Linked DNA regions of Callithrix jacchus. The protein of the gene in region 1 interacts with the protein of each later gene in a pairwise test. Links are inferred from orthologs where the notes say so. Each region holds a gene or a part of one and is shown in the gene's direction. Other genes may lie near its edges. The genes, in order: TRIM27, TRIM29, CCDC102B, POLE2, POLR3C, PIMREG and RAB29.

Region 1 (4,364 bases):
GCATGGTGGTGCGCGCCTGTAGTCCCAGCTACTCGGGAAGCTAAGGCAGAAGAATTGCTTGAACCCAGAAGGCGGAGGTTGCAGTGAGCCGAGATCGTGCCATTGCACTCCAGTCTGGGTAACAAGTGAAACTCTGTCTCAAAAATAATAATAATAATAATAATAAACTTACTTTCACTTTGAAAAAATAAAAATAAAGTGATCATCTGGAAGCAGAAGCCTGTCTTGCTCAGACAGCAGGATAATTTTGAGAAAAATTTCAAAGAAAACTAGGAAACGCCAGTAAGGGATAAGAACGTAACATAAAAATGCTGGCGGGGGCCGGGCGCGGTGGCTCACGCCCATAATCCCAGCACTTTGGGAGGCCGAGGCGGGTGGATCACGAGGTCAAGAAATCGAGACCATCCTGGTCAACATGGTGAAACCCCGTCTCTACTAAAAACACAAAAATTAGCTGGGCATGGTGGCGCGTGCCTGTAATCCCAGCTACTCAGGAGGCTGAGGCAGGAGAATTGCCTGAACCCAGGAGGCGGAGGTTGCGGTGAGCCGAGATCGCGCCATTGCACTCCAGCCTGGGTAACAAGAGCGAAACTCCGTCTCAAAAAAAAAAAAAATGCTGGCGGTCTGCGGCCTCCAAGACCCTGGGTCGATGCCTCAGAAAGGAGCAAGCAATTTGTAGTTGCTACTCAGCACAACAACCCTATGTAGTGGGCATTTTATTACTATTTTAATGGATAAACAACCCTATGGTACAAAAAGTAAAAGATGTAAGGAAATGTACTTCTTACTGCGGTACAATTATCCCCATTTCACACGGGAGAAACTGAGGTAAATGAATGGTAAACCAACTTGCCTGAGCACAGGAGAGAAGTAGCAGAACTGGGCTTGTTATTGCAACACAGAAACGTTACCGTCTGATATCTAAACGAAACTGCAGGTGCCTACAAATGGGGCTGCTTAATAAAAGGCCCCACGTCTCAGGTGGGCTAGTCCGCAACCCTCATCCTCCAGACTCCGGGGGAGGCCAGATGTCTCCGTTCGTTCCTCGGCATCCACACAAAGCCTGCTTTCTTCTGCAGGGCTGGGACCCAGGCACCAAAAGGAAACCGAACAAAGACTCGGGGCCCGGCCCGGCAGCCGCGGAAGCCTATAGGCCCGGAGCGCGTGGCCAGGAGACCCGGTCGGCGCCGCGCCCGGAGACAGCGCCGGCTCTCGGGCCCCGACCCCTAGGCTGGAGCTTCGGCGCGACCGGGCCAGGGACCGCGGCAGAGCCTCCTCGGCCTTTCCGAGAAGAAAATCCCAGGCCCCGAGGCCACGAAATCTAGCCTCTCACTGGGAGCGCGGGCCAAGCCCCGCCCGCCGAGCCGCCTCTTCCGCTCGCGCCGGGGTGGGGTCTGCGCGGCCGCCGGGACCCGCTTCGGACGCGGCCACGTTGTCTTGCGCGCCTGCCCCTGGGCTTCTGCCCCTCGGCGACCCGGCCCTGCCCCGGAGCGTGTTCGCGCCTTCATCGGGGGCCCCGGCGCGGGGAGCGGCGCGGCCACCTCGAGTCTTCGCGGCGCGGGCGCGTCTGGATCCGGGCCCGGGAGGCGCCGCCCTCCGCCCGCCCCGCGCCTCCCGGGAACGGCGACCGGAGAGCGCGGGAGAGTTGGGCGCGGCGCGGAGCTCGGTCGGGGCCCATGCCCGTGCGCCCCGCAGGCCCCGCCATGGCGTCCGCGAGCGTGGCCGAGTGCCTGCAGCAGGAGACCACCTGCCCCGTGTGCCTGCAGTACTTCTCCGAGCCCATGATGCTCGACTGCGGACACAACATCTGCGGCGCGTGCCTGGCGCGCTGCTGGGGCGCGGCGGAGACCAACGTGTCGTGCCCGCAGTGCCGGGAGACCTTCCCGCAGCGGCACCTGCGGCCCAACCGCCACCTGGCCAACGTCACCCAGCTGGTGAAGCAGCTGCGCTCCGAGCGGCCGGTGGGCCCGGGCGGGGAGATGGGCGCGTGCGAGAAGCACCGCGAGCCGCTGAAGCTGTACTGCGAGCAGGACCAGACGCCCATCTGCGTGGTGTGCGACCGCTCCCGCGAGCACCGCGGACACAGCGTGCTGCCGCTCGAGGAGGCCGTGGAGGGCTTCAAGGTGAGCTGGCGGGGCGGGCGGCGGACAAAGGGAGGGGGAGAGCCCGGGGCGTCCCTTTTCCGCCCAGAAAATGGCTGAGCCGGACGTGGGGCTGGTTCGCAGCCGTCATTTCCTCCCCGTGCGCCCCGGAGCCTCCGCGCTCGGATCTGGAGGAAAACCTGTGGCTGGCGAAGAAGCCACAAGTCCCCCCACCCCCACTCTCCTCGCTCCGTGTGCCCCCGAGTTTCCTGCCTCGCGGGCGCGTTGTACACGGAGACCTTTTGACAGAATGAAAGAAGCGCATACAACCCGCGCACATCCGCAAGCTGGGGACACGCTCCGCTCCCACCGGCTCGCAACAAAACGCGCTCAGACGTTCACTGACTCACGGCCATTCCTTAGTGTAGAAGCATTTTCTCTAGCACTTTCGTTCAGTCTGCCCGGCTCTAGAAGCTCACGGAAAATAACAGCTCTTTGGTGCTTGAGTAAGTCGTTTAACTACTCTAGGACCCAGGAGATAACACAGTCATGAGGAAGAACGTGGAATCACAGGACGCTCAGAGCCCTCTGCTAACCGGCACAGCTAAACAAACAGTAACGTGCAGACAAAGTGTTCCAAATAAAACACTTGTAAGGCGCCCTTCAAGGAGTCCATGACACAATTATTTGTATCTTGAGGGCTTCAGTAATGCATACACAATTATGTCCCTGTTTAATGGGAGTACATTCATGTGTAATCCCTTAACATTAATGGACCTTTCAGCTATATTATTTCACTCACTGGTGATACATCTTGAGCAGGTTGGGAAGATGGTGTTTGCCCATGTCACACCTGAGGAAAATAAGTCACCTTCGCAGTATGCCTGTGAGGAAAAGCTCCAGTACCACACAACTCTCAGCCTCCTGCTCCAGTCACATTTCCGCTAAGTCATGCAATATCCGACCAGGGACAGGTAGATGACTCATTGTTTAAGATAGACACAAATAGTCCTGACGCAGTAGCTGAGTGGTTGAAGCCACAGGCTGCTTAGATAGACACAAAATGCCAGAGGCGAGGCTTGATGGCCCCTGTGCCCTGGGTCTTAATCTTGTGGGTGGCACTGTGGCCTGAGGACAGGACCAGACAGGACTTGGCATCAGGTGTGTGGACTCCATCTGTGATAAGAATGACCATGCTATTGGGTGAGGTGGCTCACACCTGTAATCCCAGCACTTTGGGAGGCTGAGGCAGACAGATCACAAGATCGGGAATTTGAGACTTGCCTGACAGACTTGGGGAAACCATCTGTACTCAAAGTACAGATATTAGCTGGGTATGGTGGCACGTGCCTGTAGTCCCAGCTACTCGGGAGGCTGAGGCAGGAGAATCGCTTGAACCTTTGAGGTGGAGGTTGCAGTGAGCTGAGATTGCGCCACTGCACTCCAGCCTGGATGACAGAGTGAGATTCCGTCTCGATGACCATGCTGATGCTAAGGTCTACTTAATTTTGAACTGCCATCTGTTTTGCTTTTCTCAGGAGCAGATTCAGAACCAGCTGGACCACCTTAAAAGAGTGAAAGATTTAAAGAAGAGACGTCGGGCCCAGGGGGAACAGGCACGAGCCGAACTCTTGGTAAGGGTTGTCCGAATTCACAGTCGCTTCTGCTGGTGCTCCCCTCTTCTGTAGAGCTGTTACTTCCCTTAAACTTCTCCAGCAAGTCATCCAGAACTTGTAGGTAGAGGTGGATCAACCGCACATGGCGGGGGATCTCACCCTGAGAACTGAGAGATTCCCTTACTTTTGGGGAAAGGATGGAGGAGCCTAGTTTGGAACCCCTGGAAACCAGACCTGTCAATAAAGCTTAACCTGCTAACTGCATAGACCACGGTTGATTCTTGGCAAAACTGACATAGATAACTTTATTGGGTACAGTCAGCTCCCTTTGTTACCATTCTGCAGACGTCCTGTATAAGGCCCACTGTTGCTTCTCTCTGGGTTATTCTCCTTGACAGTGCCTTGATTGTGGAGTTTTTACTCTGTTCTCTTCTTCCAGCCTCAAGGCCTTGACAAGTGGCTGATGTGTTAATTCATGATAGAGGTATTTAGGATTTTTTTTTTTTTTTTTTTTTTTTTTTTTTTTTGAGACAGGGCCTCACACTGTCACCAGTGCAATGGCAAGGTTTCGGCTCACTGCAACCTCTGCCTCCCAGTTCAAGCAATTCTCCCACCTCAGCCTCCCAGGGAGCAGGGGCTACAGGTGTGCACCAACACACCCAGCTAA
Region 2 (4,594 bases), on another chromosome or scaffold:
GAAATTGGGTCTGGCATTTTGAGAAAATGTTCCCCTCCCCAGAAGGCCCGATGAGCTCTTAGCCAATTCACCAGTGAGTTCACACAAGACAGGGCTCCTTTGGGGCCACAGACAGAGACCTCAAGTAAGAGGGGAATCCCCGTCATAAAGCCAGCACTCCCCATGCCAACACCACCCCACATACATCCCCTCAGAACTCAGCTGCTCTGTGAGCTGGGCTTGTCTCTGCCCTCTTTCCCAGGGGCTGTTTTTTACAAAGGATTACCTTTGTTAAAGGTCTGGTCAGCCAAAGGGGCGGGGGCTTCCTGACTTGACCTGGATTTGAGGTGAAGGACGGGAAACCCACTCCCCTCCACATAGCCCAGAACCTGCCATGCCAGCCTCACCAACTGTCTTCTCTGCCCCACCCAGCCTGGCCCTGGAGAGGCATGCCCTTTCCTTGGGGGTTTGGAGGCTTCCCAGGATGAGGCCAGTGGGTCAGAGCCCAGAAGTGACTTTCGGGGCATATCCTACAAGAGCTGAGGGTCCCTGGTGTTCTGCAGGGGCCAGGGAGGGGAAGGGGATAGCATTTGTTTTCCTCACTTTTCTTCCTGAGGTCTGTATTTATATGATAGTCATATTTGAACCGGTGACTTCTGAGATTATCTGAATCCCACACTTCACTGGCCTCTTTTTGGAGGACGTTGCCTGTGGCCTGGCCCAGAGAGGATGGGCAGATGTTTTCTGAGTCACACAGAAGGGCAAGTGTGGAGACAGGTGAGTCAAGTGTTTGGGCCCTGAGAACCCAACCACCTGGCCTGGCATTGCTTGGATTCCCTTATTCCCGTGCCTCAGTCCTTTGAATCCATGAAGGGTCTGGCCTGCTCTGATAGCAATAATCTAAGGTCTACATGTATCTTATTAGGGCCACTGGGATAGGTCAGACTCTCAGAAGCCATCTTCTGGTGAGATATTCAGGTAACTCCATGACCTCCCAGCTGCAGAAGGGACTTTGGCATCTCAAAGGCTTAGGGTTCAAATCCCAGCTCTGCCACTTGACTTAGGCAGTGAGTTATCTTCTTAAAGCCTCGGTTTTCTCATCTATTAAAAAGGGGTAATTGAACAGGTTTTAGGGATGCTCGAATGAGGTCATATATATTAAGTACCTAGGAATGTGCCTGGAGGTTGTCAAGTAGGGTTCAGTAACCAGTAGCCAAATCAAACGGAACCCATCCTCCCTGCTTGTGGTGAAAAGCAGCTCCACAGTCCCAGGGTGGACCATCTTTCTTCTGAAACTCAGGCCCGCAAATTACAAGGCTATTTGACTTGTGTGACCCAGTTAACAGCCCTGTGCCCCGTAGGCCTCTGCAGACACCTCATCTTCTGCCCCAGGGGCCTCTGGGCTCAGTGAAGCCTGCCCACCTGTGAAGACAGAGGCTCCCCGCTCCCCCGATGAGAAGCAAGTGCGTCAGAGGGAAGCAGCCCAACTGGTTGCTGAGTTGTGGAAAATAATTAAGCTGGGGGAGAAAAAAACACTTCTTTTAAAAATCAGGTTAGGGATGACTGTACAGGGCGTGGCTCCCGTGTAATTATCTGCTCTGCTGGCTGCCGGGGCTGCCTGCTTCTCCCTGGGCCCGTTGTGTCAGGCTTGTACCTGCTGCTCCTCCCCTCCACCTCCTTCCCCTCCTCCTCCCCACAGGTGTGTCTCTGGGCCCTGCGGCTGCCTGCCCCACTCCCTGCCGAGACACCCGCCAGCAAGGTCACCTACCCTGAACCCCAGCAAGCCTGAAACAGATCAGCTGAGCCCCCCTGCGATGGAAGCTGCTGATGCCTCCAGGAGCAACGGGTCGAGCCCGGAAGCCAGGGATGCTCGGAGCCCGTCGGGTCCCAATGGCAGCCTGGAGAATGGCACCAAGGCCGACGGCAAGGATGCCAAGACCACCAACGGGCACAGCGGGGAGGCAGCCGAGGGCAAGAGCTTGGGCAGTGCCCTGAAGCCAGGGGAAGGGAGGAGCGCCCTGTTCGCGGGCAATGAGTGGCGGCGACCCATTATCCAGTTTGTCGAGTCGGGCGACGACAAGAACTCCAACTACTTCAGCATGGACTCGTTGGAAGGCAAGAGGTCACCGTACGCAGGGCTCCAGCTGGGGGCCGCCAAGAAGCCGCCCGTCACCTTTGCCGAAAAAGGCGAGCTGCGCAAGTCCATTTTCTCGGAGCCGCGGAAGCCCTCAGTGTCCATCGTGGAGCCCGGGGAGGCGCGGCGGAACAGCTACCCCCGGGCAGACACGGGCCTTTTCTCCCCGGCCAAGTCCAGCTCCGAGGAGGTGCTGTGCGACTCCTGCATTGGCAACAAGCAGAAGGCGGTCAAGTCCTGCCTGGTGTGCCAGGCCTCCTTCTGCGAGCTGCACCTCAAGCCCCACCTGGAGGGCGCCGCCTTCCGAGACCACCAGCTGCTGGAGCCCATCCGGGACTTCGAGGCCCGCAAGTGTCCCATGCATGGCAAGACTATGGAGCTCTTCTGCCAGACTGACCAGACCTGCATCTGCTACCTCTGCATGTTCCAGGAGCACAAGAATCACAGCACCGTGACAGTGGAGGAGGCCAAGGCCGAGAAAGAGGTGCGTGCTGGGCCCCTCCTGCCCCTCCTGGCCTCTCCCCTCACCCTGACCCTCCTACCTTATCTTCTCCAATGGGGCTTCCTGGTGTTTGGGGTTTAAACCTCTACTGTCCTTGGCTCTTTTAGTAAACATTTATTTCCCTTCATGCCCCCTGTTGCCCCTAACCCCAGCTGGGGATCAGAGGTGGCTCTCCAATCCCCTAAGGTCTCAGGAGACAGGGGTATTTTCTAGATGAGCAGATGGAGACTCAGAAAAGATTGGGGGCCTGATCAAAGTCATAGGATAAATTCAAGTTGGGTCAGAGAGTAAGACCCAATGGCACATAACTCACTCCTGGGCTCTGTGCCTGGCTGGGTGTTCCTTCTCCTTCTCCTTCTCCTCCTCCCTTCTCCTTCTCCTTTTCCTTCTCACTTCTTCTCTTTCTTCTCCTCTCCCTCCTCTTCCTTCCCCCCCCCCCCGCTTCTTCTCTGTCTCCTTCCTCTTATTCTTATTTTTTCTCTTTTTTTCTTTCCCTCCCTCCCCTTCCCTCCCCCTCCCTCCCTCCCTCCCTCCCTCCCTCCCTTCCTTCCTTCCTTCTTTCTTTTCTTTCTTTTTGGCTTTAAAGAAGAGACAATTCCTCCAACCTGAGTGGGATTGGCTCCTGAGGAATGGATTGTAGGTGAGTAAAGATACCAGAAGGAGAGAATTTTGGGGCCCACCAAAATGTCCTTTCTGCTGTTTTGCAGTTTTTATTTGTGCTACAGTGGCTGCTTGTTCTAGCGGATCCCCAGCTGGTCTCTTGACTTCTCCACAGCCTCCTTTATCCGTCTCTCAGCTGGGCCCCGCGTTTCGCGTGTGTGGTTGGGTGTGGACACACCTATTCCTATAGCTGGACACTGTTGGGGAGGTTTGGAGTTTGTGTGTGGATGGTGTGTACATTTACAGCTAACCCTGACTTAGGATGGTTCGATTTATGTTGGTGTGAAAGTGCTATGCTTTCAGTACAGTATTCCATAAAATCCAACACTTTATTACAAAATAGGCTTCGTAGTAGAAAATTTTGCTAAACTGTAGGCTAATGCAATTGCTCTGAACATGTTTAAGGTAAGCTACGTTAAGCTATGATGCTTGGTAGTCTAGGGTTATTAAATGCATTTTTGACCTATCACATTTTCAACTTACAATGGGTTTATTGGGAAATAACCCCATCAGAAGTTGAGGAGCTGCATATGTGTGTATTTTATGTGCACGTGGGTGTTTTTGTGCCTTTGTGGATGTTTGCCTGTATTTGTCTATGTGATATGTAAGTGTGTTTGCATGAGTTTGGTGTATGTGACTGTGCATGCACTTCTATGGGAAGGAGCAGAGGCGAGTGCAGGCTTGTGGATGTAGCATACCTGGGGAAGGTGATTTGGACAGAGACCCCAGCTGTGGCCACTGCCCTGTGCCCCACAGATGAGGGGGTCACTCTACCCTAAGGTACATAATTTTCTGGTGTGGCCTTCCAGGGGGCAAACCTTCCTGGCCTTTAAAGCAGTGGACTCCGCTTTTCTGAAGAGCTTCTGCACACCGCAGATCTGAACAGCGCAGGACTCCTCCTTGCCCAGCCTTCCTGATCAGGGGGAGCTGCTCCTTTAATCCTCTCTCCCTTCATCTCTCACCCACACCCTGCCCATCTGGACAGAAAGGGGGGAGGTAGAGAGGGGAACAGATGTACAGATCCCTTCCTGAAGCCTTGTTTGGCCCAGGAAGACGATGTTTCCAGCTTCTCCCATCTTCTGACCCCAGCGTGGCCTCAAGCTTTGTTGGGAGACAAAGATGGGACAGGGGCCTTGAAACTCATTCTTAGAGAGCTTTGCTGTGAGGTTATGCAGAACAAGGGGCCGTCCTCCTCATCACAGCAGCTGAGAAACTGCAGAGCCTCAGACAAGGTTTTAGGAAATGTGACCAAGTTTCCAGTCCTAGTTTTTGCCTCTAACTAGCTGTGAGTCTGTGAATAACTCCTTTCCATTATCAGT
Region 3 (4,313 bases), on another chromosome or scaffold:
CAAAATGTACACAATAAATGCTGATTATTTGGCTCATACTGCATAAGCTTAGTCATCTTTGAAGTGTTTTTTGACCTTTTGCAACCTACCAAAAAATTCATCACTGATGCATTCCACGGTACAAATGATGCAAAAGCAGAAGTAGTTCATCCATTTAATAAACATCTAGTCTGTATGCAACCATATCATGACCGGCCAGGTTCTAGTAAGCCCATAAATCTAATAAACACAGAGTTCCTTTTTCCTACGTATTTTAACTCTCACCTTACTTTTCCTTTTTACCATCCTGTCTTTTTGGAATACAGGCAGACAGCATTCCTCTATATTTCTTTTGTTTTAGTAGCAATGATCTCTTCAGTAAAAATTACAAATGCCATTCAAAATATTTCCCCTGAAATAGACGGCTAGAACAAATCAAAGTCGAGCTGCAACTCTAATACTTAATACAGGGCATTGCCTGACACAGAATGGGCTCTTAAAGGTTGCTAAGTGAGCGGACCCCAGTGAGAACGAAGGCACCCAGGGCTGAAGAGAGGGAGCTGAGAACAGCGGACACACACTGAGTGTTTCACACCGCACAATCCCGGTGGCCTGACCCTGATCTGAGCCCTGGTGGTAAAAAGCCTTAAACGTGACAAGACTCAGAACCTAAAGCCAAGGCAAGATCTGGCGGTTAAGCTGGGACGGCAGCATCCTTCTTGCCCATCAAAGGAGTGAGCTTTATTGAAACTTCCTGCCACAATGAAGAAAACACAGACACAAGGAAGCGCGCCCTTCCCGCGCCCGGCACTGGCCCCGCACAGGGGCAAGGGAAAGACCCCCAGGTATCCACTCCGTCAGGGCCAGGCAGGTCGGCGTGGCGGGGCGGCAGGACTCTGCGGGACCGTGCGAGCGTCTCCGCGGACCCCACAGGCCTCGCCTCAGCCCCGGGCCCAATCCCGGCCCCACGGCGGGCCAGGTCCCAAGAGCCTGCCGGCGTCGCGACCTCTGCTCGATCATTACCTGTGGCGCAGAGCCGCAGGGCGGCCCGACACCTCCAGGCTGCCATGCTAGCCTGGGAGAGCTGCAGAAGCTGACTCTGTGCAATAGAGAGAAAAGATACCGGTGTCCGCTGCCTTCCCGCCAGGAAAGGGAAGCGGAGCTGACCCAGAGCGGAAGAGAAGCTCCGCTCAGAATACGGGGGCGGGGCAGGCCGGCCTCCGTTAAGCTCCCAGGACCCCGCCGGTCTCCGTCTCTGAGTATGCGCGGAGTGCGGCGCATGCGCCGGGAGGGCAGCGTCTGCGCTGTCGTGTGCTTCAGCATCCTTTGCGCCCTCGGCCCCTCCTGAGGAGCGTGGGAACCCAGCGTGCGGGCTTTATTCGGGAAAGCGGTGGTTGTTCACGGGGGCACGTTTCCGGAAAGGTGAATACTGGAGAAAGTTAGGTTGCAGGCGAGGTAGACTCCCACGACGCACTTACGGGATGAATATTGGCACATCATTTGCTTGCTGCTCCCGTGCAGTGAGTGCACCTGTGCGTTTTAATGCTGGATCAAATTTGTGGAAAGAGGCGCGCCTGAAGACTGGATTGCTGAGCTGCGCGCCACTCTGTGTTTTTCCAAAGCGTTTTTGAAATCGTCTTTCAACCTGTTTGCATAAAGGGACATCTCTTAAATGCAGCAAGCTTTAATGCACTTTTGCCAAAGTAAGGATTGCCTCTTTAAAAACTTTCTCTTGAAACTTGAGAACATAAAGTTAGGCTTAGGATTTTTTATGACTTTTCTGATTACTTTGGAATTAAATAAAATAGTATGAAATATTCATATTGCTACCTGTTTTTTTTTTTCTACAGGACAATGATTTGTAAAACCCATATTTCTTTTATATGAGGTTACTGCAGCAGTCGCTACTTCTGAATTAGATGAAATTTTTATGGGACGTAAGGTACCAGAGGATTTAGATCAAATTTTGAAAACCTATGAGAACAACAGAAAGGGTAAGTTATGATGTCAGCCGGTTCACCTTAGGTTCAAAATTCCAACAGGCGGAAATGTTCTAAAACATTGTTATTCCTAGTGACTAGAAGATTAAATTACACTCTAATTGAGAGCAAGCCTTAAATGTCACCCCTTTTGGGCATACAGCATGGTATCCAGTGCAAGCCCTCTGCAGATTCAATTTTTCTTCCTTTCTTTTTTTTTTTTTTTTTTTTTAAAGAAAAAGACTAAAACATAAGGGGACTGTTGAAGCGACGGGAATGTTCTCTCAATGGTGGTGAAACAGCTTTATAATAGTACCATGGACTTGATACTCTTCTACAGAAGCTTTTCTACTCTCTTGGCAGTATCTCTGAAAGACCCATATTCAGTTTGTTTTTCCATTCTAATGTATTTCAAAGTTCTCTGTCTTCCACAGCATGCAAAATAAAATAATTTCTTTGCATATTTGCATTACAGTTTAAGTTAGCATGTGGAGAACAACAAAAACCAGTTAACCTAGATCTGTGCTCTTCAATAGTGTAGCCACTAACCACCTGTGGCTATTGAGCTTTTGAAACATGCCGTGTCATGAAGTAACTGAATATTTAATTTTAATTTTAGGAAATAAAAAAACTGACACTCGATTCAGTTATTGGAAAGTTTTTTTAATATGATTGGAACAACTGAGATATTTGAATCTACTTTTTCAACTGTAAATTTTATGAAATCTAAAAACTGATCATTTCCCAGGTGTGGGTGGCTCTTAACTGTTTGCCAGCACTTTGGGAGGCTGAGGCAGGAGGATTGGTTGAGGTCAGGGATCCGAAACCAGCTTGGGCAACACAGTGAGACCCCGTCTGTACAAAAAGTTTAAAAATTAGCCAGGTGTGGTGGCACACACCTGTGGTCCCAACTACTCCAGAGGCTGAGGTGGGAGGATCAATTGGGCCAGGGAGGTTGAGGTTGCAGTGAGCTGTGATTGTGCCACTGCATTCCAGCCTGGCAACAGAGCTAGACCATGTTTCTATAAAATAAATACCAATTAACGTATTTCTGATGAAATTAGGGAGGTTGTAAGGAGGTATAGTATAAATGTAAAATATACACTGGATTTGGAAGGCAGTATAAAACTGTTAAATGTCTCAGTATTTTTGTATTGATTATATGTTGTAATGCCTATAGCTTAGCTATATCTTAGATATATTGAGTTAATAAAATAAATTATTAGAATTAATTTCACCTGTTTTTATATTTCACTGTGTTTCCAAGAAAATTTATAATGACATATGTGCTTTGCATGATATTTTCATTGCAGGCAATGTGAAAATGTTCAAAATTATGCATTAATGTGAAAATGATTTAATAAACCAATAGACTTTTTAGGCCTTTTGTTCAGAGAACATGCTAAATTTCCATATGCTAAAACATATTCAGTGTTCAAAAATTTAAGTGTTTTTTTCCTGCTTATCTACCTCAAGTGGTGATCACTTTTTTTGTTATTTAAAAGGTTCTACTATTTTGACAAGATCTTTAAAAAGACTTTCAGATAAGCTACACTTGTACAGATACATGCCTTATATATTTTGCCTACATATGGCTGTAGTCTAAATGTGTATCGCAAATTGCATATGTTGAAACTTCATTGCCAATATGATAATATTAAGAGATTGGGCCATTTGTGCATGATTTAATCATGAGGTGGAACGCTCATGAATGTGATTAGAGACCTAATAAAAGAGACCAAAGGGATTATCTTAGTCCCTTTTCCCCTTCAACCTTAAGCCATATGAAGACACAAGAAGAAGGTACCATCCTTGGAAGCAGAGAGCAAACCCTTATCAGACATCAAACCTGCTGACTCCTTGATGTGCAGCCTCCAGAACTTTAAGAAATAAATGTTTATTATTTATAACTTATCAAGTCTGTGCTATTTTGTTACAGAGCATCAACAGGCTAAGTAAGACACATGTGCTTTCCAAAAGTCATATACACAGGTGTCTTGTTTATGGTAGGACTGTTTGCAATTGTGAAAAGCTAAACAATTCAAATCTGTAAAAGTAGAATAGATAAATTGTGTTGTTATCCTGTAGTAAAGTACTATATAGTAATGAGAATGAATGAACTTTTGTATGGAGAACTGTGTGGTTGCAAATCATAAACTAAATGTTGAACAGAAGAAGCCAGAAACTGAAGAAAGATACTATATGATTTTATTTACGTAAGCTCAAAAGCAGGCAAATTAATCAATAGTGTTAAAAGTCGAGGTACAGGTAAATGTCGTGTTTCTTGATCTGTGTGCTGCTTACAAAGATACGTTCACATTGCGAAATGCATTGAGCTGTACCTTTAGGATTTCT
Region 4 (3,862 bases), on another chromosome or scaffold:
GGGGAAATCTAACCTCTTTTGGGATCCTCAGAGGAGGCCTCTGGAGTATTTGCATTTAAGCTGGGAACTGCAAGATGTCAGTGTAGAGTGGGCAGAAGTGGTGGAGGCTGGGAGTGTGTATATTATCCACTTTCCTACTGACCCTTGCTTGGTGAGCATTGAATAAAACCGAGCTTTGAAGGAACTGTCGAATAATTTTTTCACAGTTCTGGAATATAGGTTAGTCTCTGTGTATATCCTTAATTTCTTAGGATTAATCATTCCAGAAGTGGAATTGCTTGGATAGATGGTTAACACATATTTTGAGGTTTCTATTAGATATCGTTCAAATGGTGTACTCATTTCTCCTACTTTCAGCAACATAGGAAATTATTATTTTAATGTTTGCTTTAGTTAGTTTTAAGAAACAGATATAGCCTATTAAATATTTTATTTATTGCTTCTGTATTGCTTCTTATTTTAGAATATTTCGATAACCTTGTACTTTTAAAGTGTTACAAAGAGTACATTTTCACCTATTTACACTGGAAAATAACTTCATTAGATAAAAGGAGCTAAATTTATAAAATTATTAGAAAAATATCTCTAGTTGTATACAGAAGCTAATTATGTTATAATTATCTAGGGCATACTATGGAAGTATTAATTTTTTTGGAGGGCCTTCTAATACATCTGTGAAGACTTCTGCAAAACTAAAACAACTAGAAGAGGAGAATAAAGATGCTATGTTTGTGTTTTTATCTGATGTTTGGTTGGACCAAGTGGAAGTACTGGAAAAACTTCGCATAATGTTTTCTGGTAGGTCTTATTTTTTTTTTCTTTCGTGAACTCTTATGAGGGTTCATGTCTTAAAACTAAGTTCTTTTTTTACATTTATCTTTTTGAGTATTCTATTTTAAAAAAAAACTACACTGGGTTAGCAATGATATAATTTAAATTAGATTTTATTTTAAAGACCAAAATTTTTACATTGAGAAAAACCTGTGTGTGTGTGTGTGTGTGTGTGTGTTTATAGTCATGATAAATAAGAATCAGTCCTGAAGTTCAAGACCAGTGGGCCAACATAGTGAGACCCCATCTTTAAACAAAAGCAAAAACAAACCTGGGTTTAAGTGCGAGCCTATTACCTTGGGCAGGTTACTTAACCCAAGTCTCAGATTATATGGACGTTCTGAGGATGAATTAAGCCAGTGCAGGGCCTGGCCTATAGTAAGTACTCAATAATTGGGTACTATTATTTCTATTACTTTAATGTTATGAAAATGTTATTTTCATTAAAATAATAAATTTTTATTAAAAATTCATGGTTAAGGGGTTTTTAACTTGATTTGTAGATTAGAAAAGTATTGTTCTTTTACTCTTTTATTCTTTAGGTTATTCACCAGCACCTCCAACCTGTTTTATTCTGTGTGGTAATTTTTCATCTGCACCATATGGAAAAAATCAAGTTCAAGCTTTGAAAGGTATTAAGGGTCTAATTTAATAAGAAGTGTTTCTATAGTCATATAAACTAAAGTAATAAGAAATTATCCATAATATTTTAATTTCATTCAGCATATACAGAGTTGTATCTAATCAAATATAATTTTTATGGCATTCTATGCAAATTTAATACAATACTCTTTTAAAATTTTAGATTCCCTAAAAACTTTGGCAGATATAATATGTGAATACCCAGATATTCACCAAAGGTAATGATCTCTACCACTATATATTTTTTTCACAGTTTTGCTTTAAAAAAGTGAATTTTGTTTTATCAGCAATTATTATAAAACTAAGAAAGATAAAGTTGAGAAAATTAAAAGAGCTAAGAGATAAAGTTATCCTCACATTGTACATGGTACTAGAGATTTATAATGAAAAGTACTGAAAGAGATAGAGATAATTTCAGCCATAATTTGGAATTTCTTTGTGACATTACTCCAAGGGTCTAGAGCTTCACTCTCCAATATGATAGTCACTGGCCACATGTCTCTTTGAAGTTTAATTAAAGTTAACTAAAATATAAAATTCAGTCCATCGGCTATGCTAGCCACAATTCAAGTGTTCAGTTGGGCAGTACAGATACAGAACTTTGCTGTCATATTACTAAACAGTGTTGGTCTGGAGATTTAATAGTTCGTTTATTATAATGCATGAAATTTAAACTTTTTAAATTTTAAAGTGAAAACAAAGGGAATAAACTGTTTTTAAGCCCTTGGATAGTGTTACAATAATACTTTAAAATGAATTCTGTTGAATTTTGCTACAGTAGTCGTTTTGTGTTTGTATCTGGTCCAGAGGATCCTGGATTTGGTTCCATCTTACCAAGGTAAGTTTTGTTCAAATTTTTGCAACAGTATAGAAAATTCTGTAAAATTTAAAGAGATAAACCATATCACATAAATTGGTTTTTTAGGCCACCACTTGCTGAAAGCATCACTAATGAATTCAGACAAAGGGTACCATTTTCAGTTTTTACTACTAATCCTTGCAGGTAAGAATTAGTATTTTGTGTTACACATTTTTCCTTTCATTTAAAAATTAACTCAGCCAGGTGCGGTGGCTCATGCTTATAATCCCAGCACTTTGGGAGGCTGAGGCAGGCAGATCGCTTGAGCTCAGGAGTTCTGAGACCAGCCTGGGCAACATAGTGAAACCCCGTCTCTACAAAATACAAAAATTAGCTGGGCATGGTGGCACACACCTGTGGTCCCAGCGACTCAAGAGGTTGAGGTGAGAGGATTGCTTGATCCTGGTAGGTGGAGAGGCTGCAGTGAGCTCAGAATGCACTACTTCATTCCAGCCTGGGTGACAGAGCGAGACCCTGTCTCAAAAAACCAAAACAAACAAAAACTAACTTGATTCCTAAAATCTGTCTCTGAATTTTGACTATTATAGAATAAATACAAAAAAATTATTTTTTGTATTTATTCTATATTGGAGGTTTCTCAAAACTTTGAAAATATTTTAACTATATTTAATTTATTGGTAATGAATTCATAAGCTTGAATAATGGAAAGAGATTTAAAAATAGATATTCTTATTAGACATCCTTTAAGAAAAGTTACAAAGGAAGAATACAAAGATTACTTATTTACTGTTGGTATTGCTCATTGTAATCGTAAACTCTTACTGTGGGAATACTATAAGAGTCAGCCTTGGTTCGCCTCTCTTTTCTGCCTACATTCACTCCTTTGCTGGCCTTCTCTAGTGTCCTATGGCTTTAAGTATCATCTGTGTATTGACACCTCTCACATTTATATTTCCACCTCAACCTTCCTTCCAAACTCCAGACTCAGGTATCCAGTTGCCTACTTATCACCACCCTAACTTAAGTGAACTCCTGATCTTCCTCCCCACCAGTGCCCTTAACCTCGTCTGTAGACTTCCCCATCTTAGTTCATGGCATCTTCATGGCCTGAACAATAATTATTCCACTTGTTCAGGCCAAAAACTTTGGGGTTTCTCTCACATAAAGTTTTTCAGGAAGTCCTATTAACTTCAGATTACATCCAGAATGTGCTACCTCTCTACACCTCCACCTCCACGACCTTCTACCCCAGTGGTCCTCAACCTTTTTGGTGCCAAGGACTGGTTTTACGGGAGACAGTTTTCCCACAGACCCCAAGGGGGTGGGGGTGATTTTGGGATGATTCAAGCATATTACACTTACTGTGCACTTTATTTCTTTCTTTTTTTTTTTTTTTGAGACGGAGTTTCGCTCTTGTTACCCAGGTTGGAGTGCAATGGCGCCATCTCGGCTCACCGCAACCTCCGCCTCCCGGGTTCAGGCAATTCTCCTGCCTCAGCCTCCTGAGTAGCTGGGATTACAGGCACGTGCCACCATGCCCAGCTAATTTTTTGTATTTTTAGTAGAGAC
Region 5 (2,760 bases), on another chromosome or scaffold:
GGCTCCCTAAAGCCTTTGCTTACAAATGTAGGAACTATGGCACTCAGATGAGGTCAGCAGTTGGTGATGACTTACAGTTACCAACCTGTGGAGCTGTGGAAGAGTTTTCTTATTACTGTTCCTCTCTGGTCCTGGTTCCACACATGGGATAGAACACCGCCCCATCTATGACTGGGAACTAAAGCTACTCTCCTGTGTTGGCATGCCATTTGCTTTCTTCATTCTTTTCCAGATTTGGGTCTCGCTGTGCTAGAATATTCCGTCTAGTTTTGCAGAAGAAACACCTGGAGCAGAAGCAAGTGGAAGACTTTGCAATGATTCCTGCAAAGGAGGCAAAGGATATGCTATATAAGATGCTCTCAGAAAATTTTATATCACTCCAGGTAACCAAGGGTGTAACAACTGCCAACCAGACAGGCTAGCCTAGGGTGAGAGAAGCTTCTCCGGCAAACATACTGAATCCCAAGCAAACTCTATATCCAGCTCTGAGACAGAAAACATGATTCACAGAGATGTAGCAAGCACTTAGAGGAAGATGTGGAGCCTTAATTGCCCTAGTAAGAAAGAGGCAGCTGGGCACAATGGCTCACGCCTAGAATCCCAGCACTTTGGGAGGCCGAGCCGGGCAGATCACTTGATGTCAGGAGTTCGAGACCAGCCTGGCCTACATGGTAAAACCCTGTCTCTACTAAAATACAAAACAATTAGCTGGGGGTGGTGTCACGTGCCTATAATCCCAGATGCTTGGGAGGCTGAGGCAGGAAGGAGAATCTCTTGAACCCAAGAGGCAGAGGTCGCAGTGAGCTGAGATTGTGCCACTGCACGCCAGCCTGGGCAATAAAGCAAGACTCTGTATTAAAAAAAAAAAAAAAAAAAAAGGTTTTTTGTAAAGATCATATAGAATTTACCTGGTACACAGATTTTTCAGTAAATATTAGTTACCTTCCCTTTCTTCTCCATTCAGGATGCTGACAGTCAAATGGGAAAAAAAGAAAAACAGGGAAGCCCAGCTCTCCGTTTAATTAATTACGACATAAACCACAGAGACTGGGCTGGGCACACCTGTAATCCCAGCACTTTGGGAAGCCAAGGCAGGAAGATCACTTAAGCCCAGGAATTCAAGACCAGCCTGGGTAATATAGTGAGACCATGTCTCCTCCCCCGCCAAAAAAATTAAAAAATTAGTTGAGCATGGTGGCGCATGCCTGTAGTTACAGCTGCTCAGGATACTGAGGTGGGAGGATTGCTTGAGTCCCAGGTAGAAGTTGCAGTGAGCCAAGATCGCACTGCCACATTCCATCCTGGGTAACAGCAAGACCCAGTCTCAAAGTAAATAAATAAACACAGGTACTGAATGACTAGGAAACATGAAAATGTAAGTGAAAAAGAGAGTTGAGTAAGTCCAGATGGAATGAGTGTTTACCTTGCCAGTTCCAAAACAATATAATTTGTTACTTTTTTTTTCTATTGGACAAATAGGAAATTCCCAAAACACCAGACCATGCCCCATCCAGGACCTTCTATTTATATACTGTGAACATCCTGTCAGCTGCCCGAATGTTGCTGCACAGGTGCTACAAGGTAACCCAGTCTGCTGCCTCCACATGGACAAGTCCCCCTCATATGCCCATTTCACCCATTTTACCTGAGCTGCTGAAATTGAACTATGTGCATTTCTTGTCTGTCTTCTCTTTCCTCAGAGCATAGCCAACTTGATAGAAAGGAGGCAATTTGAAACCAAAGAGAACAAGTAAGTAACATTTTCAGTTGAGTTATTTACATTTTTTAAGGTCAACGGCCTGAGGGGAAATTTCCTATAGAAACAGGAACCAATGAAGGCTGGGCCAGGTGCAGTGGCTCATGCCTGTAATCCCAGCACTTTGGGAGGCTGAGGCAGATGGATCACTTGAGGTCAGGAGTTCAAGACCAGCCCGGCCAACATGGTGAAATCCTATCTCTACTAAGAATACAAAAATTAGCTGGGCATGGTCATGGGCCCCTGTAGTCCCAGCTACTCTGGAGTCTGAGGCAGGAGAATTGCTTAAACTCAGTGAGTGGAGGTTGCAGTGAGCCACTCCATGCCACTGCACTCCAGCCTGGGTGACAGAGTGTGACTCCATCTCAAAAAAAAAAAAAAAATTCTGAGGAATAGGAAACAATGGAGATAGCAACCAGTGTCCTTGCATTGAATCACTGGCTTAGATTAGTATAAATCATGCATAGGCTACACTTTTCTAATACGCTCCCAATGAAATAGTTTTTTCAGATTAAATTTATGAGAAATGTACAGAAGCACCAAACTTTAAGTGCAAATGAGAGGCAGTAAGAGTTTCACGAGTGAAGTTATATTTCCAAATAAGTTTCTAGAAAATGTCCTTAGAAGGTGACATCTACTTTGACCAGGAAAATGGTAAAAGAGTGATGGGTTGTGCCTCAGAGATAAATGCTAAGAGAATCTCCAAGGTTAGGAAACATGTCTCAGAGTTGTGTTTGTTTGACAGGCGTCTACTAGAAAAATCTCAGAGGGTAGAGGCCATCATCGCATCTATGCAGGCTACAGGTGCAGAGGAGGCACAGTTACAAGAAATAGAGGAGATGATCACAGCTCCTGAACGTCAGCAGCTAGAGACCCTGAAACGTAATGTCAACAAGTAAGCGCCATAAACTTCAGCCCTACATTTCAAAATACCATCCAAAACTCCTTTTTCACGTCCTGTAAGCCTCCAACTTAGCACGAGCAAACCTAAACTGTCTTCTCCA
Region 6 (4,568 bases), on another chromosome or scaffold:
AAAAGGGGGTCAAAAAGAAGAAAATAAACATCCATGTGGCTACCACCCAGTCTACAAAATGGAACATTGCCTTTGAAGTCCTTTGAGCCCTTCCCTCAATACATCCTCTTCTCCTGTCACCCTTCCAAAAATGACTACCTATTTTATTTTGGTGCTTACATAATTTTGCTTTCCATAATACCTTTGTCCACAAATGTGTCTGTATATTCCTAAACCATATTGTTTAGTTTTTTGCTTTTGACTTACACGGTGTCATACTCTGCATATTGCTTTTTTTTCAAATCTAACATGATATTTCTGATATTCACCTAAGTTGGGAATGGTAGGTGGGAGGAAGGAATGGGAGAGATTTGTTAAAAGATACAGAGTTACAGCTAAATAAGAGTGATCTGGTTACAATTCACTTATTTTTCAGTGCTGTATAATTTGAATAAGTAACAATTTATATGTCTAAAAAATGCCACCCATATATGAATTTGGGCATTATATTTCCAACATTTGCAATTTGAGGGACATGGTCAAACCATAACAGAGGGTCAGATGAGTTAATAAACTGAAACACCAGGACCTGTGCATACTAAGTGTCATATACACATCATCCTTATCATCATCCTTTGGGGGGAAATCACTGACGTCAAAGTGGGTAAGACCACCCAGAAACGAAGAGGGTTGAAGACAGAGCCTCAAGGAACCATCATCTCAGTCTCTTGTGCGGGAGAAGTAACAAAGAAACTAACCGGGGGAGTGGGCAGCGCTGCTTTGAGGTCACCGAAAGGAGTAGGATGGGTTGGAGAGAGCTTTCTAATGGCTTGTTTTGTTTGGATGCTAAGGAGAGGAGAGACAGGCATTCCGCTGGAGGGAGGGAGGGATGCCAGAGGCAAGGCGCGGGCAGAGAGCCAGGGTGGGCGGGAGGAGGGCAGACTGGTATCCTCTGGTCTATCCCCACTTCCAGGACGCGTTTTCTAGGGGGGCGGAGTGTGGACGGCGAGTATGGGGAACTCCGAGAGGGGCAGTGTCTTGTCACAGGAAGGGAGGGTCAGGAGGGAAATTTGAAAGAAAATGTCTCTGGAAAACCCAGGGCTCCGCGCTGCCAGCGCCTGGCTCTTTCTGAAAGAACCACTGAGCAAGAAGGAAAAGCCAGGCCCCTTGGCGGGTTGGCGCTGCGGGGCCTGGAGCCTGAGCCAGGAGGTCTCGGTGGCTGGACCTCCGCCTCCACCCCATGGGTCAGAGCAGCCTGGACTTTTGCGCGCTCCTGGGAGGGGATCCGGCGTGCGATGGGCGGGGGCGGGGGCTGGGCCCGCGAAGGCTGGACGCGGGATACAAAGCCAGGAGCCACGAGGCTGGAGGCCGGGCGGGGGCCGGAGCAATGAATGGGGACGCCTGGGCCAATCCGAGCGCAGCATCTGCAGCCGCTAGAGAGGGAGCCAATTGGATGCCCGGCCCGGCGGCGGGGACGGGGACGGAGCCAATCAGCTGGGAGGACGGGCCGGGGCGGAGCCGCGCAGAGTTTCAAATCGGCTGCAGTGGGCGAGAAGCAGCCGTGCTCGGGTGTGATCAGCGTTGGTGTCTGGTGAGTGCGGGCGGGACCGTGGTGGGGCTTCTGCTCAGAGCAGGAGGACCTCAGGTTCGGACATGCACGGCGTGGGGGTGCGTCTGGGTACCTCAAGCGTCGGATCGGAATAGGGCGAGGGGCCGTCTGGTGGGAAGGCCGGGGTCTGGGCGGTGGTGCGTTGGGTCTGGCCGAGCTGGTGAAGGAGATGGTAATCGTGTCCTGGGCCCGGCGCTGAGGCTCGATTCTGGAGTGTCCTGATCCTGCCTCCCCTCCTTGCCTGAGGCAGAGAGAGGAAGGAGGTTGGGATGAAAGGACAGCTGTTTTGGAAACTTAAAGTGCTGGACAGCAGAAATCCTGCTGACCTGAGACCCCTCTTCCAGGAAGCATCTTCCTTTCTGCACCCACACTTGCAAACTTCCCCACCACCCTGCTGCATCCCATCTCCTCCCCTGTGCCCAGGGTCTCTGTGGGGCCTGGGAATGGGGATGCGGAATGCCTTGCTGACCTGCTCTTTGCCCTCCGCCCCAGGGTGTAGTGGGCAGAAAAGACTTGGCCTGGCAGATGGCTTCTCGGTGGCAGAGCATGGGGACCTCCGTGCGCCGGAGATCTCTCCAGCACCAAGAGCAGCTGGAGGACAGCAAGGAGCTGCAGCCTGTGGCCGGCCATCAGGAGACCTCCTCCGGGGCCCTGGGGTCCCTGTGCAGACAGTTCCAAAGGAGGCTGCCCCTGAAAGCCGTCAACCTCAACCTCCGCCCAGGCCCCTCCTGGAAACGTCTGGAAACCCCAGAGCCAGGGCAGCAGGGCCTCCAGGCAGCAGCTCGCTCAGCTAAGAGTGCCTTGGGTGCAATGTCCCAGGTAATACCGACAATACTAACCATCTTTTTTATGAAGGGTTTCCTTGGTGCCAGACAGTTCCTGCCTTCAAAGAGCCTCCAAAAATATAGACTCCATGAAGACAGGGACTTTGGTTAGTTCACTGCTGTTTCCCTAGCACCCCAAATAGTTCCTGGCATGTATAGGTGCTCAACAAATAGTTGAATGAATGAATGAAAGCATGTCTTGGAGGAAACAGATGCTCACACTACCAGGTGATAAGAGCTGTATGTGATAGGAAATTGCAAGCAAGTGGCCAATAGCAAGGGCTCACCAAACGAAAGCTTAGTTGGTGAAGGCTTCCCAGAGGAGGTGCCTCCAGAGTTCACCCAGGGAAGCCAAAGGTCAAGTGGTATTTAAGGCAGTGGAAATAGTTCAAGTCCAGGCCTGGAGCAGGAGGAGCTGAGGAAAAACAAGATTGCCCACTCAGCCATGGACCCCTGAGGAGAGCCAGAATTTTAGTGTGGGAATGAGCAAAGGACACAGGGCAAGGTAGAGCAGGGAGAAAGGATATAAAGGAGCTTAGACTCTCCCGGGAGTGATCAGGAGTGGGAGTCCATAGGATTCTAAAACAATGGAAAGTCTGGTCTAATTAGCATGTTAGAATTTGCCCTTTAGCTACATAATGGAGAAGGGAATGGAAGCAGAGAAGCTCCTGAAGGGGGACCTAAGGGTCTGGACTTGCAGGGGATAAACTTCGGGAACTGCCTAGAAGGTTGATTAGAGGGGATTTAATGTGAAATGAGAGGTGCTGGCAGGAAGACATCCTTATATTGGCTGTAAGTGTCTATGGGCCCTTTAAGGGATGCATCTTTCAACCCAGAGCTGGAGGTAGAGAGGGGTCACTTAGAAAGGACAGAAGCCATTAGGATGAATGGACCTTCAGTGAGAGGACTGGAGACTGCAGAGGTTTCTCCTCGATGTCTCACTGGGAATTCCAAAGATGAGCGGAGAGGGTGGCTGTTTCTAGACCCTCTGCAGAGAGCTCTCTGAGCCAAATGTTAGTCCTTATTTGGAAACTTTTTTTTTATTTTTTGAGATGGAGTCTCGCTCTGTTGCCCAGGCTGGAGTGCAGTGGCGTGATCTCGGCTTGCTGCAACCTCCGCCTTCCGGGTTCAAGTGATTCTCCTGCCTCAGTCTCCCAAGTAGCTGAGCTTATAGATGTGTGCCACCATTCCTGGCTAATTTTTTTGTATTTTTAGTAGAGATGGGGTTTCACCATGTTAGCTAGGCTGGTCTTGATCTCCTAACTGCGTCGTGATCCACCCAAATGCTCTCCTGGTATGCAGGGGGTGGTAGGCAGGCTGGCCTGCTCTTCTCTGCCCCGCCCCCGCCACAGTCGTTGGGTCAATCTGTATCTGGAAGGAGAGTTAGACAAACAGGCTCCATGCACTAGGGCAGGTCATCCTGCTGCTGACTGCTGCTGTCATATCCAAAAGCTCTGAGCTGGATCCCTGCCATGGAGTCCTTTCCCGAGGAGTCATTCACATCCCTCACCCTGGAGACTAACAGCAGCCTGTATTTACAGGACACTTGTTGGGTCTAGGGGTGGTGGTAGCTCACCCTTGTTTTTTGCTTTTTCAAGACAGGGTCTCACTTTGTCGCCCAGGCTGGAGTGCAGTGGCGTGATCTCAGTTCACTGCAACACTGCAACCTCTGCCTCCTGGGTTCAAGGGATTCTGGGATTACAGGTTCTTGGATACAGCCCGCCAACATGCCCAGCTAATTTTTTTGTATTTTTAGTAGAGATAGTGTTTTACCACATTGGCCAGGCTGGTCTCCAACTCCTGACCTCCAGTGATCTGCCCGCCTTGGCCTCCCAAAGTGCTGGGATTAAAGGCATGAGCCACCGCCGCCCAGCCTCACCCTTGGTTTTGTCTGTGCTAACATTTCCATTTGCCTATTCCAGAGAATCCAGGAGTCCTGCCAAAGTGGCACCAAGTGGCTGGTGGAGACCCAGGTGAAGGCCAGGAGGAGGAAGAGAGGAGCACAGAAGGGTAGTGGATCCCCAACTCACAGCTTGAGCCAGAAGAGCACCCGGCTGTCTGGAGCCACCCCTGCCTACTCACCCTCAGGCCCCTGGGAGAAGGCGCATCACTGCCTCTCTGCCCAGATGGGCTCATGTGCCCGCCCGTTACGGCGG
Region 7 (4,458 bases), on another chromosome or scaffold:
CTTGAGCCCAGGAAGTGGAGGTTGCAGTGAGCCAAGATTCAACCTGGATGACAGAGTGAGACTCTGTCTCAAAAACTTGAATAAATAAATAAAAGAGTATAAAGGGACATGTATAAAGGAAATAATAATGCTCAGAATCTGAAGTCTACATGGAGGGAAGAAATGATGAGTCCAGTGACAGAAATAGGGAAGCTGAGAAAAGGAGCTATTTTTGTGGTGATGTAATAAGAGGGAGGATGTGACCGGACATCCAGGTGAAGGCATCTTTTGGGAAGCTGAATATCACTGATCGAAGATAAAGAACAAATAAAGTGAAGATAGATCTTTCACACCAAGGACAATTCACTCAAGAGTTTGTAGAATGATTGTCTCAGAGACCAAGAATCAAGCTTTAGGAAACACTTAGAGGGAAATGGGATGGAGAGAAACCTCAGAGAAAAAGATAATCATCAGAGAAGTAGGAGGATGAAAAAGAAAGAACAGTGTCCTAGAAGGCATATGGGAAACAAATGTCAAGGAGTGGTCAGCTATGTCAAAGCAAATAGCAACAGAGAAAACTGGATCCTTAAAGGTGAGTAGCCTGGCCTAACCTCCTGTGCCTGGGCAACAAACATTCTGGGCAAAATATATTGTGGACCATGCTCATGCTCTTTCCCCACAGAACATAAGTGATAGCCTCTCTATCAAGAGACCTAAGCAAGACTCCATAGTGTCTGGTCCTGGGCTGTTCACATGGCCTTGCTGGTTCTCTTCCTCAATTCCTAGAAAAAGTATAGAAAATGGAACTCTCTTTGCTTGCCATTGAGCTCATGTCCTGCCAACTCCTACCTAAATGACAGGCAGGTCAGTAAAGTTACAGGCTGAGAAATTAGAATTATTTGTCAAACCCTAGTTTTATGATGATCTGTTAACAACAGCCACAACAAATCAGCGATTCCCAGTGTATTTCAATTAGCTTCTAGCTCAAATGATACATGAATAGCATGGTTAGAACAGGCATTGTAGAAGTATGAATGGGGACTGTCTTCTGTTTTCTGTCTATCTTTATTGTTATTGCTGGATATTAAATGCTGTAACTTTTGGCATAGGTTTTTCCAAGGAATGGTCTCTTGGGTCAAATTTCCCTGATCTTGCCTGGTATTGGGCACGTTCATACGGAAAATATGATTAATTTCACGAGGTCCTGGGCTTGTCTGTCTATTTGAAGGAATAGGAAATGGACTTCACTTGGAGCATTATCTATGATGCTTGGGCTTTTATTAATGAAATAAGTTTTAATCTTAACTACGCAAAACCTTTAAAGACAGGAGAAAACTGTCTGGGGACAGATTCAGGCCAGTGAGATCACGTTGCACAAATCTCTTAAGGGATCTTTACTGACCCAGAACCGTTTCAAAATAAGATTCCGAACTGTTGAAGGAGTTTGAAGCCCTGAAACATTGTGTAGGTTGGTTTAAAACAAAAAAAATGAATACACTACATTTCCTAGGAGGCTTCGCGGGTAAGCCTCTGCACTCGGCTAGTTCTCTCTACCGCGAGGATAGTTGGGAAATGTAGTGCTCCAGGCAACCCTGCACGTGACGCTTGCGGAGGAAGGCGAGAGAGGCGCGGGAGGGGGGTCAAGGGAATCAAGGTGCCGGCTGCTTTTTCCTCACAATTTGATTTGTGCAGCAAGGGGAGGGTCCTCATCATCTGGCCCCAGTGGTGTAATGAGCTGACTGGGATTCAGTTGCTGGCTTGGAGCCGCTCCGGGGAAGTCCCGGTGGGTGAGGTTCCGCAGCGCCTGGTCCCGTTTCTCGGCAGTCGGGTAGGGGGGTAGGGGGGAAGGTGCGAACAGCCGGGGCACGGAGCTCGCGCCCTGCGCCCCACCCAGGTTGTGGCTGCCCGGGGAGGAAGCGCACATAGGTTGAGTGCAAAGTTTCCTTTTTTGCTTTCTCGTCAGAGCAGCCCTCACAGGCGGTGGGTGGGAATGCCTCACTTCAGTTTGAAGAGGGTCCGGAGCCAAAGGGGTTAAAACAAGCTACTTCCCACTTTCCGCCTCTCTAAAACGCACACTCCGCTAGCCATGGGCAGCCGCGACCACCTGTTCAAAGTGCTGGTGGTGGGGGACGCCGCAGTGGGCAAGACGTCGCTGGTGCAGCGATATTCCCAGGACAGCTTCAGCAAACACTACAAGTCCACGGTGGGAGGTGAGACGTCTCTGGGGGGAGGAGTCGGAAGAGGCCCCGACCGCGGACTCGAGCTGGGGACCCAAGTGGGATGGGGATTTGCAGTCGGTTGTTGGGTCCTTCGGGCCAGGAAGTAGTGTCTGGGAATCTGGATGGAGTAATTGTTGGGTATTTGGTTTACACGCCTCTCTTGGGTTTCCCCAGTTCGATTTTCCTAACCTGAACCTACTGCCTGGAGAAAGGTAAGAGCTAAGGAGTGACGATGAGAATAGGGAAGGGAGGCTGAGGATGAGCAATTGCTGTTTATTGCGAGCTCACTGTGAACGCAAGTCTCCTGCCTCAGCCTTTCAGCTGTCAGGGGCAAATCTCTCCAGTCAGCAGAAGCAGCTGAGATCCTCTCCTCTGTAGGGCCTCCTGGTTAGCTGCAGTCTGGGGCTGTTGTCCTGCCCCTCTCTGTTGAGGAAGGAACCGCAAGGTGTTTAACCTGGCTTCTGGGGGAGAACGCAGGAAGCAGAAGTGGTCGGAAGAACTTTAGCTCAGTTATGGGGCTGTGGGTGGGATGGAAGACACAAAATCCCCAAACAGGCTCCTTGGCTACGCAGTCAGATGCCCGTGAGGGCTGATGAGCTGTTTTTGTCCGTTGATTGCTTAAATAAAGGTAACCAAGGAAGTCTTCGAAGAATGTGAAATATACCACTTCTCTGATCTATCTTCCCACCACTTTTCCCCTCAAACTGGAGAAGGTAGGGAGGAAGGGAACACCGTCATTTCTTTCTCGGGCGTAGCCTTTGGACTCAACTGTTTTTTCAGAGGTAGAATTGCCTTATTGTTAATTAGAAGGTATTTAGCTAGAAAGAGCTGGTGATGGGGGAAGAGTAACTTAAAATTTTATTTAGGCCTGGCGTGGTGGCTCAAGCCTGTAATCCCAGCACTTTGGGAGGCCAAGGCGGGTGGATCACGAGGTCAAGAGATCGAGACCATCCTGGTCAACATGGTGAAACCCGGCTCTACTAAACATACAAAAAAATTAGCTGGGCATGGTGGGGCGTGCCTGTAATCCCAGCTACTCAGGAGGCTGAGGCAGGAGAATTGCCTGAACCCAGGAGGCAGAGGTTGTGGTGAGCCGAGATCGCGCCATTGCACTCCAGCCTGGCTGCAAAACTCCAGCCTGAGAGCAAAACTCTGTCTCAAAAAAAAAAATTATCTCTGTTAAAATAACTTAAGGGGAGGAAACTTGTACTAATGGAAAAATTGAAAATGTGTGCTCGTGTTCATATGGAAGTTTAAAAAGAAATTAACAAGCATTTACATTGCAACTGAAACATTCTCCTTAAGAACCCCCAGCAGGGCTGGGCACAGTGGTTCACTCCTGTAATCTCAGTACTTTTGGAGGCCAAGGTGGGCAGATCATTTGAGGCTAGGAGTTCCAGACCAGACTGACCAACATGGTGAAACCCTATCTCTACTAAAAGTACAAAAAAATTAGTCGGGCATGGTGGCACACGCCTGTAATCCCAGCTACTTGGAGGCTGAGGCAAGAGAATCTCTTGAACCCGGGAGGCGGAGGTTGCAGTGAACCAAGATCGCACTACTGGACTCCAGTCTGGATGACAGAGCAAAGACTCTGTGTCAAAACAACAAAACAAAAAAACAGTAGGGCCCAGTGAGGTGGTTCATACTTGCAATCCCAGCACTTTAGGAGGCTGAGGCAGGTGGATTACTTGAGACCAGCCATGGGAAACATGGCAAGACCCCACCTCTACAAAAATTAAAGAAAAAAGTAACTGTAGTCCCAGCTACTCGAGAAACTGAGGCGAGAGGATTGCTTCAACTCAGGAGGTCAAGACTTCATTGAGCCCTGTTCACACCACTCACTGCACTGTAGCCTGGGCAACAGAGCAAGACACTGTCTCAAAAGCAAAAGAATAAAGAAATTTACGTCCGGCAAAATTAAAGATTTAACGTTTCAGACGCTCTATCTTGACCACTCAGCCCTCCCACTCCTAAATAACATAAGGTCCCGATTTCACAGATTTGAGTTAAAAGTGTCCTCCTATTAATAGTTAATTTTTAATAATTGCTATAGTTTTCCTTTAGCAAAGAACATAATTAACTCTGGCTAATTTTTTTTCAGTGTTTATTCTAAATTTCCCTTAGCTTTGATTCCTGTCACAGATGTGAAAGATAATGTTTCCAAACCTCAGTAATTACTGTTTCTCTCCTTATCCAAAAGCTTTCCCCGCAGAATACTCACCCAGCCTTAACTCAAGGAGTGTCAGCATTTGCAGAC

Evidence for each region.
Region 2: the proteins of TRIM27 (region 1) and TRIM29 interact in a two-hybrid assay, tested with the Homo sapiens proteins (2 studies listed by BioGRID and IntAct). The link is inferred for Callithrix jacchus from reciprocal best matches to the Homo sapiens genes TRIM27 and TRIM29.
Region 3: the proteins of TRIM27 (region 1) and CCDC102B interact in binary tests that used the Homo sapiens proteins (3 or more experiments, as listed by UniProt). The two-hybrid records come from large-scale screens. The link is inferred for Callithrix jacchus from reciprocal best matches to the Homo sapiens genes TRIM27 and CCDC102B.
Region 4: the proteins of TRIM27 (region 1) and POLE2 interact in binary tests that used the Homo sapiens proteins (3 or more experiments, as listed by UniProt). The two-hybrid records come from large-scale screens. The link is inferred for Callithrix jacchus from reciprocal best matches to the Homo sapiens genes TRIM27 and POLE2.
Region 5: the proteins of TRIM27 (region 1) and POLR3C interact in binary tests that used the Homo sapiens proteins (3 or more experiments, as listed by UniProt). The two-hybrid records come from large-scale screens. The link is inferred for Callithrix jacchus from reciprocal best matches to the Homo sapiens genes TRIM27 and POLR3C.
Region 6: the proteins of TRIM27 (region 1) and PIMREG interact in binary tests that used the Homo sapiens proteins (3 or more experiments, as listed by UniProt). The two-hybrid records come from large-scale screens. The link is inferred for Callithrix jacchus from reciprocal best matches to the Homo sapiens genes TRIM27 and PIMREG.
Region 7: the proteins of TRIM27 (region 1) and RAB29 interact in binary tests that used the Homo sapiens proteins (3 or more experiments, as listed by UniProt). The two-hybrid records come from large-scale screens. The link is inferred for Callithrix jacchus from reciprocal best matches to the Homo sapiens genes TRIM27 and RAB29.

The regions. Positions count from the first base shown.
Region 1 is NC_133505.1:2,069,946-2,074,309, forward strand, and holds the start of TRIM27 (zinc finger protein RFP), read left to right. Parts: upstream 1-1,391; 5' UTR 1,392-1,676; coding exon 1,677-2,123; intron 2,124-3,619; coding exon 3,620-3,715; exon of another isoform or gene 3,716-4,364. UniProt on the Homo sapiens protein: E3 ubiquitin-protein ligase that mediates ubiquitination of various substrates and thereby plays a role in diffent processes including proliferation, innate immunity, apoptosis, immune response or autophagy.
Region 2 is NC_133511.1:19,784,211-19,788,804, reverse strand, and holds the start of TRIM29 (tripartite motif-containing protein 29), read left to right. Parts: upstream 1-1,710; 5' UTR 1,711-1,793; coding exon 1,794-2,597; intron 2,598-4,594.
Region 3 is NC_133514.1:111,379,830-111,384,142, forward strand, and holds the start of CCDC102B (coiled-coil domain-containing protein 102B), read left to right. Parts: upstream 1-1,325; 5' UTR 1,326-1,401; exon of another isoform or gene 1,402-1,682; intron 1,683-1,829; 5' UTR 1,830-1,955; coding exon 1,956-1,973; intron 1,974-4,313. UniProt on the Homo sapiens protein: During interphase, forms fibers at the proximal ends of centrioles to maintain centrosome cohesion. During mitosis, dissociates from the centrosome following phosphorylation to allow centrosome separation. Contributes to CROCC/rootletin filament formation.
Region 4 is NC_133509.1:84,150,870-84,154,731, reverse strand, and holds part of POLE2 (DNA polymerase epsilon subunit 2), read left to right. Parts: intron 1-625; coding exon 626-798; intron 799-1,373; coding exon 1,374-1,463; intron 1,464-1,636; coding exon 1,637-1,691; intron 1,692-2,251; coding exon 2,252-2,311; intron 2,312-2,398; coding exon 2,399-2,476; intron 2,477-3,862. UniProt on the Homo sapiens protein: Accessory component of the DNA polymerase epsilon complex. Participates in DNA repair and in chromosomal DNA replication.
Region 5 is NC_133519.1:8,270,332-8,273,091, forward strand, and holds part of POLR3C (DNA-directed RNA polymerase III subunit RPC3), read left to right. Parts: intron 1-232; coding exon 233-383; intron 384-1,479; coding exon 1,480-1,581; intron 1,582-1,700; coding exon 1,701-1,750; intron 1,751-2,501; coding exon 2,502-2,651; intron 2,652-2,760. UniProt on the Homo sapiens protein: DNA-dependent RNA polymerase catalyzes the transcription of DNA into RNA using the four ribonucleoside triphosphates as substrates.
Region 6 is NC_133506.1:107,999,855-108,004,422, forward strand, and holds the start of PIMREG (protein PIMREG), read left to right. Parts: upstream 1-1,520; 5' UTR 1,521-1,570; intron 1,571-2,080; 5' UTR 2,081-2,113; coding exon 2,114-2,407; intron 2,408-4,334; coding exon 4,335-4,568. UniProt on the Homo sapiens protein: During mitosis, may play a role in the control of metaphase-to-anaphase transition.
Region 7 is NC_133520.1:33,292,984-33,297,441, reverse strand, and holds the start of RAB29 (ras-related protein Rab-7L1), read left to right. Parts: upstream 1-1,567; 5' UTR 1,568-1,633; exon of another isoform or gene 1,634-2,063; 5' UTR 2,064-2,065; coding exon 2,066-2,189; intron 2,190-2,202; exon of another isoform or gene 2,203-2,410; intron 2,411-4,458. UniProt on the Homo sapiens protein: The small GTPases Rab are key regulators in vesicle trafficking. Essential for maintaining the integrity of the endosome-trans-Golgi network structure.